2 linked regions of the Canis lupus familiaris genome follow. The protein of the gene in region 1 purifies or fractionates together with the protein of each later gene. This does not show direct contact. Links are inferred from orthologs where the notes say so. Each region holds a gene or a part of one and is shown in the gene's direction. Other genes may lie near its edges.

What was found. The genes of interacting proteins can lie anywhere in the genome.
Region 2: the proteins of TNKS2 (region 1) and RNF146 purify together in Homo sapiens (co-immunoprecipitation; 3 studies listed by BioGRID and IntAct, with this or other methods). This does not show direct contact. The link is inferred for Canis lupus familiaris from reciprocal best matches to the Homo sapiens genes TNKS2 and RNF146.

Annotation. Positions count from the first base shown.
Region 1 is NC_049249.1:6,462,328-6,466,074, forward strand, and holds the start of TNKS2 (poly [ADP-ribose] polymerase tankyrase-2), read left to right. Parts: upstream 1-1,466; 5' UTR 1,467-1,481; coding exon 1,482-1,680; intron 1,681-3,747. UniProt on the Homo sapiens protein: Poly-ADP-ribosyltransferase involved in various processes such as Wnt signaling pathway, telomere length and vesicle trafficking.
Region 2 is NC_049222.1:66,547,844-66,551,590, forward strand, and holds the start of RNF146 (E3 ubiquitin-protein ligase RNF146), read left to right. Parts: upstream 1-850; 5' UTR 851-961; intron 962-1,745; exon of another isoform or gene 1,746-1,866; intron 1,867-2,152; 5' UTR 2,153-2,283; intron 2,284-3,747. UniProt on the Homo sapiens protein: E3 ubiquitin-protein ligase that specifically binds poly-ADP-ribosylated (PARsylated) proteins and mediates their ubiquitination and subsequent degradation. May regulate many important biological processes, such as cell survival and DNA damage response.

The DNA of each region.
Region 1 (3,747 bases):
AGATGCACCCATGGATATTCAGTTTATGCAATATAATTTAAATTTACACGACATATATAATTATGTATGTATAATTATATAACTTATATATGTACAAAAATGTTCCTAAAAGCATACATCCTCTACCTTCTTGCACAGTAGTGAGTCAACATTCCCAAACAGAAACTGAATTTCCTGAAAAACAGGTTAAGAAGTTAAAGACAACAAGGGAAAAATGCTTGTCAGCATGCCAAAGGTCAACATGTGTCATTTCATGTAACCATACCTCACTTTCACGCAGTTTCCTGAGGCCAGGGCCTGGAGTAGGGAATAGCTGGATCACTACATTAAGCGTGACAATTAACTGTGCGCTTTTCTTTGATGGTCTATATACGTATGCAGACCTATATATGTGTATATGTGTACATATATTAATATGTAATTATATATAATTCGTATATTATATGTAAGTATTATATAAATTAATATATATCAATGCAAACTATTAACCTTTGTCTGCGATGCGTATGCCCACTGTGTCCACACCTCAGCCAAGTCAGTACAATGTTGATACACTCGTGGGCCCGTTCGTAAGTTCTGAGCTAATGACTGTGGAAGAGTAACGTATCAGAACCATCGCTCTCAATTAATTTAGAATCGGAACACACTTTCATCACTTTCCTAACTTACTTTAAATGAACTTGGGGCAGCTCATCCAAACTTCCCACGAAGTGGGAAACAACCCATTCGTTTTCCACATGTGACTCACAAGAAACAACAGAATAGCAGTTGCAAGGCAAGGGAAAAGACAGGAAAGAAAACGGGAAAGAAATCCACCCCCCCCCCCCCCCCCCCCCCCCCCCCAGGAAAGGGATTGTGAAAGTTGAAAAATGGATTTCCACACTAAGAATTCCAAAGCAATACGCCAGATCGCGGGGACACTTCCAAAGGCTCTTTTCAGGGTAATAACAGTAAGGAATTTCAGCTCGGGAAATCCATGCCTTAACAAAGCGAAACAAAACCACCCGGCTTCAGCCTGACCCACTGCAAAGATGGCGGTGGGACGAAGCCCCTTCTCCTCCAGCCGCCGAAGAGCCTCGCCTCACATTACCCACAAACCCCTCCGCGCGGCCTCGGCGCGGAAATCGGTCGGGCCGGTCTCCGATCGCTGCGCACGCGCGGCACCACGTCACCGGCCCTCCCAGGGCTCCGCGGACCTGGCAGGAGGGGCCTTGCCAGCTTCCGCTGCCGCGTCGCTTCAGGGCTGGAACGGCGGGGTCGCGCTGCCTCCGCCACCGAGGGGCAGCCGGGGGTCGCGGGGCCGAGCGAGGGCCGGGCGGTGGCGCGGCCATGGGACTGCGCCGAGCCCGGTGACAGCAGGGAGCCGAGCGGCCCGGGCCCTGTGCGCGTCTCCTTCAGGGGGCCTCGCCCTCTTGCTCGCAGGGCCGGGGCTCCTGCTGCGGTTGCTCGCGCTGCTGCTGGCGGCGGCGGCGGCCAGGATCATGTCGGGCCGCCGCTGCGCCGGCGGGGGCGCGGCCTGCGCTGGCGCGGCGGCCGAGGCCGTGGAGCCAGGCGCCCGCGAGCTGTTCGAGGCGTGCCGCAACGGGGACGTGGAGCGAGTCAAGAGACTAGTGACCCCGGAGAAGGTGAACAGCCGCGACACGGCTGGCAGGAAATCCACCCCGCTCCACTTCGCCGCAGGTAACCGGGACCCACGCCGGCCTCGCCTCGCCTCGCCCTGCACCCCACCTGCCCGTCCCGGCTCTCGGGCCTGAAACCAAACACTCTGCCCCCGTCTTTCCGCCTCGGACTCCGCTGCTGGTCACCCCGCTCTCGTTGATTGGGGACTGAGCGAGGACATGGGGCTAGGGGGCGAGCGTGCCCCACTCAACTGGAATTTTTTTTTTTTTTTTTTTTTTGCTTTGTTTAGTATCAACAATACCTGTACCAACTTCCGGTCTTGCTACTCTAGAAAGGCTTCCATACACAAGAAAGAGTAGGGAACTTAGACCTTGTGATTTGAAAGGCCAATTATCTCCAAAATCTGTCTTTCTTGCAAGTTCCACTATGACTGTTGTCAGTCCTTTGGGTTAAGGGCTTAAAGGCCTTTGTAAAATGCAAGGATGTAATTTACGGGGTCGCTTAATTAGCCATTGACACATTATTGTTAACGGGTTTAGCGGGGTAGTCAGTCATTAGCAAGATTTTGGAGAGTCTAGAACTGCAAGTAGTCGTTTGGGCGAACTGAGATCTAACTTAAGGTGGGTGTGGGTGGGTCGTGGCTGCTACATATACTAGTGGAGGATGAGAGGAAAAGGTAGTGCAGGTACTTTAGCTTAGACCTAGAATTAAAGTTGGGGCCAACCTCGCCTTATTCTGAGATTTAGATCGTTTGAATTACTTTTCCTTTAATATTTACTAGATTGACTTTGTGATATAAAGGTATTAAGTTTAATTGAAGAATCTAGAAGAACTGGGGTGAGACCGTATATTTCCATAAAGCATTTATACTTCTCACTTGGAGAAGAGATTCTAACTATATCCTGATTGAAAATGGGAGTAGGTTCTCATGCTTGTAATAATCTTGTTTTTTTCATTTTGTATTACATGATTATTTAAAATAGTTTTTCGAAAATGTAAAATTTCGAAATGTAAAATGATACCCGTCTTTTGGAGTAGGCACAATGAGAGAAAGTGTAAGAAGAATTTCCTTGTTCACAGACATTGCTTTTACTTGATTTGTTTGCTTTAATTTGTCCTTATTTTAAAATCTGAATACTAGAAGGTATGCTTTATCAGTTACAATTTTGTCAGGTTCCTGTTGGGGAGCCTTTTTAAGAGGGAAGTTGGGTGAGATAGCTAGAAACAGCCTGTGGGTAGCAGAAAGGGAAAGGAGAAAAACACTGAAGTCAAATCTCACCTGTTTGCCATTTTGCTTAAAATTTTGGTGATCAGTGCTGTCTTTTCTCAGCTATTTTGGATTGTCCTGTTTAGCCGTGTAATCAACATTTAAACAACTGATTTGGCAAACTATCATAACTGATAAGTAATCCAAAGGGTAGTGTTACTTAGATTCTGTTCACTTGATCTGTGGGATAAAAATAGCGAAGCAAGATCTTAGTTGCTACCTTTCAAGAATTTGGTGTATTAATGAGTTCACATCTGAAAATAGTAATATTTAGAGGTTATGGGATTAGCTTTTTATTGACCTTGTTCCTCCTCCACCATCCTACCCTTAGTTCTGTCCCAACATTTCAAAGCACTTTTTTACATAGATTTGATGTGGCTCAGACAAATGGAAAATTTGTTTTGGGAACTAACCTATCTCACTATTTACCCAAATTATCTGGTACAGGTTATACAACCAATAATTCAAGGTGTAAAAGCAGAGTAATAAAAATGTCTAATGGCGTACAGTAAACAAGAGCATTAAAAGCCCTGCATTTAAACCCAAGCATATAAGAAACTTAAAAAAATTAGCTTTGTAAATTCAGTCTGAGTTATTCATTAATGAGAGAACCTATTTTAATTTTTAAATAAATTCATCCAGCTGCATTTTCTCCTATATGTGGAAAATGTATTTTATAATCTTCTGTAGATAGTGTCAGTCATATTAACGTGCATGTAAACATGCCATTGGAAACTCAGTGTAGGTGTGGGGACTGTGAAACTGCCTGACCAAGCAGTTTCTTGTGTTTGTACATTGTAGGATAAGCTTGGGGGGGTGGGTGTTTGTTTTAAACCAATTAACATTTGGAGGTTTTTTGG
Region 2 (3,747 bases), on another chromosome or scaffold:
TTGAGTACGGATCAAATTTTTGGCCTTATTTTTTTCGTGGGGTGTGTAGGTCAGAGGAGTGGCTAAGGAGAACACAAAGACAGGATGAAGCTTAGAGCTGGAGAACGTACTCCTGGACATTATTACACTAGCAGAACTTATTTTTTAAAAAAATACTGCTTTTGTTTACATCATTTAGCATCACTGAGCCAGGCGGCCCTCTTCCAGAACTAGCTGTATCCTGATATATATATATATATATATATATATATATATATATATATATACCTTGAAATATTATTTCAGAAGAATAAAAAAAATGTGGCCTCTCTCCATATACAGGGACCCTAAAATTTGCAACCTTCAAATGCAACAGCACTGCAAGTAAGAAACATGGGGTGTTGGAATATATATGTATATACACTGTTTCAATGCATGCTATTCCCCCTTCCTCATTTTACTATAAATCGAGAAAAAAAACATAGGATTCCGAGGAAGACAAGGCATAGGCCACCGTGCAGCGGGGGCTACTGCCCAGGTTCTGACATTCACAACCGCACCGGTGCAGCCAGAAAAGCCCTTTCTTTAGTCCCAGACCCTCCTGCTCATCAATCCCTTCCTCCAGCTTCCTAAGCTCCAGTCGAAGGAAAACAGGTGCAAAAGGAAATGAAGTTTTGTTTTGTCTTTTTTCCGATCCAATCGCTCGGCCGCCAACAGCGAACGCGGCAGGTGTCAAATGCCCCCGCGTCCAGCGAGGCGCCCCGCGGCGGCGTCGGAGCAGCGCACCTGCCGGCGCAGGCGCGCGGGGAGGGCGGGGCGGGGCCTGGGCGGGGCCTGGGCGGGACCCGGGCTCCACTTCCGGCCCCCGCGGCCCCGCCCCCCGCGGCGCGACGGCGGGTCACGTGACGGCCGCGCGCGTTCCCGGCCGCTGCGGGCTCCGGGGCCGGAGAGGGAGGCCTGCGCGGCGGCGGCCGCCCGAGAGGTGGGAGTCGGGGCGCGGCGCTCGCGGGGCGGGGGGCCGGCCGCTGCGGGCTGCTGGCGGGGCCGAGGCGCGGCGGCGCGCGGTGTCACGGCGGACGGGCCGCGCTGCGGTGGGCCGTGCGCTGCGGGCCTGCGAGGGGCGGCGGCGGCGGCGGGGTCAGGGCCGGGACGTAGGTGGACGCCCTTGGGCCGGCGGGCCGCGGCTCGGGCGCCGGAGGGCCGGGGCCGGCGGAAAGGCTGCGACGGGCGCCATGGCCCCTGCCCCTGCCCCGGGCGCCGGCCCCGCACTGCCCCCGGCCGGGGTGCGAGAGGCGGCGCCGCGGCCATTACTGCGCAGCCGCTTCCGCCGGGGCCGCCGGAGCCGCCGGAGCCTCCCCTCCCTCCCCTCCCCTCCCGTCGGCGGCGGGGTCGGGCCTCCGCCCGGGGCGTCCTGCTGCTCCCGCGGGGCGGCCTCCCGGGCCTCGGGACGCCGCGCAGCCGGGGCATGCGGTCCCTCGTTGTGTCTGTCTCCGGAGCGTTTTTGGCTGCTTCCTCTCCCCCCCCTCCCCTTTCCATCCTCCCCCTTCCTCCCCCATCCTTCCCCCTCCCATCCTCCCCTCTTCCCCATCCTCCCCCCCTCTGTCTCTCCCTCCCCATCTCCTCATCATCCTCCTCCTCCCCATCCTCCCCCCATCCTCCCCTCTTCGCCATCCTCCCCATCCACCCCCCGTCCTTCCCATCGTCCCCCCTCCCCTCCTCCCCCCATCCCCCCCATCCCCCCCATCCTCCCGAGTGTCCGGGTCTTGCCCAACACCCAGAGCAGCCCCTCAGCCTTGCCCTCCGTGAGACCGCCGCGTCTTCGTGTCTTGGTCCTTGTTTGGGTGATGATGAGCAAAGCTCCGGAGCAGTGGACGCGCCTGCAGCCCCGTGAGCCCCCCCCCCCCCCCCCCCCCCGGGAGGGCGTCCTGGAGGCGGAGGCCGCCGCTTTGTTCTCGGTTGCCTGGGTCGCCCCGCGCCCCCCCCCCCCCCCCCCCCCCCCCGCCCGTCTGAGCGCGGCTCTGGGCGGTCGCCCGTGTCCCCGCGGGGTCACGCCCCGTCGGGCCCCCACAGCGTTCCCCGGGCCCCACTTGGTCTGTGCCGCTGTTTCTCTGTCCCCAAGCGCCGGTTCAGGGACGCTTTTCAAGTTTCACAAGTACTTAGGTTTCTGTTTCAGGGAGATTTTCTGTGATGTTGGAGCAGTGATGAGTCGGGGGAGGAAGCCAGCCAAGAAATGATGGGAAAAGCCTTGTCTTCAGAGCCTGACGTCTCAGGTGCCCCGGGCACCACCACCCACCCCCACCTCCGGTGTGTGTACTTTTCAGATGGGATGTGAAAGCGTAACACTGGCGTTGAAAGCGCTGTAGGATTACAGACACCGGAGGGCTTAAGACTTTTTGTCTTTTTAGCAAATGACAAGTCTGTGTTTGGACTCCTAAAAAGACCTGAAGTGTGGGACACACGAAGATGACCCCCAGGAGTAACAGGATTTATGATGCTGGCTCTGCCGTTTCCATGACCAACAAATACTGTTTGTCTTGAGTATCCGAGTGCCCTAAAAACACATGAAAATAGGTCAAATAAATCTTTTTTAAAAATATTTTATTTATTCCTGAGAGACACACAGGCAGAGACACAGGCAGAGGGAGAAGCAGACCCCATGCAGGGAGCCCGACGTGGGACTCCATCCCTGAGCCAGGCCCTGAGCCCCAGGCAGGCGCGAACCGCTGAGCCACACGGGGCTGCCCCAATAAATCTCTTTTTAAAGAGAAAACCAGAAAAGCAAAAGCCAGACTAGAAATAGGCTTTGGATGTGTTTGCTTTAGCCTCGTGTATCTTAAATTGGAACATTTTGTTAAGCCGGCTCTTTGATTTAGAATTTATGTTTCAGATGGGCTGATGTAAGTTGCAGGGAAAATAAAAATCACGGTAAATATTTGAGGGTTTTGTTATTTCCTGGATTTTAAAGACTTGATAGAGTTATAACATCAGGGACACTAGTTTTCCAAATAGCTGGTCTTCAGAAGGAAGAAAAAGGAAATGGCGTTTTTTCTTTTAGGAGACACGTGTCAACGGGTGAAGCATCTTGTTTTCTGTTTCCACCAATTTGAATTGTTAAAAGAATAGGACAGGTTTTTGTTTTTTTTTTGTTTTGTTTTTTAAAGAATCCAGAAATGTTTTGACTTGGTATAGAAGAAAAAGAATAGTATTGGATCTTTTCTTTTCAAAACATTAGTCTGTTTAGAGAATATTGTTTTCTTTTCACAGTACTAGCCTGTTTAGACAATAGTATTTTATGTATTAGGCATTTACTGGCATGAAATGCCTGATACATTGTCAGCTGGATATTTGAATTTTTTTCCCCCCAGTGTCAGTAACAGAGGGTGCTGACCCCTTTTTTCCATTCCCTCACTTGGTTCCTGATTGCGTCTAAGGAATCTGAGTTTGTGAAACATCAGGTTGGATTAGGAGTAATCTTTGTGGGTATGGAAACCATTTTATTAATATTCTCCTATAGCCACTTGTGCTTATTTATGGAATATTTAGTGTTTATGGCTTATTACCTTTTGGATTGATTAAAACATGTTAAATGCCTGTTAATTAAACTATTTAGAATTACAGAAATACAGAATAGGGTGAAATAACTAAGACACGGGAGTTATGACTTGACCAAGGTCACACATATAATTAGCAACTAAGCCTTTCTCATTTACAGTATGGCTACAGTCTATGAAATTTCTGCTTAATCTTATCAGATTAAAAGAGTATTTG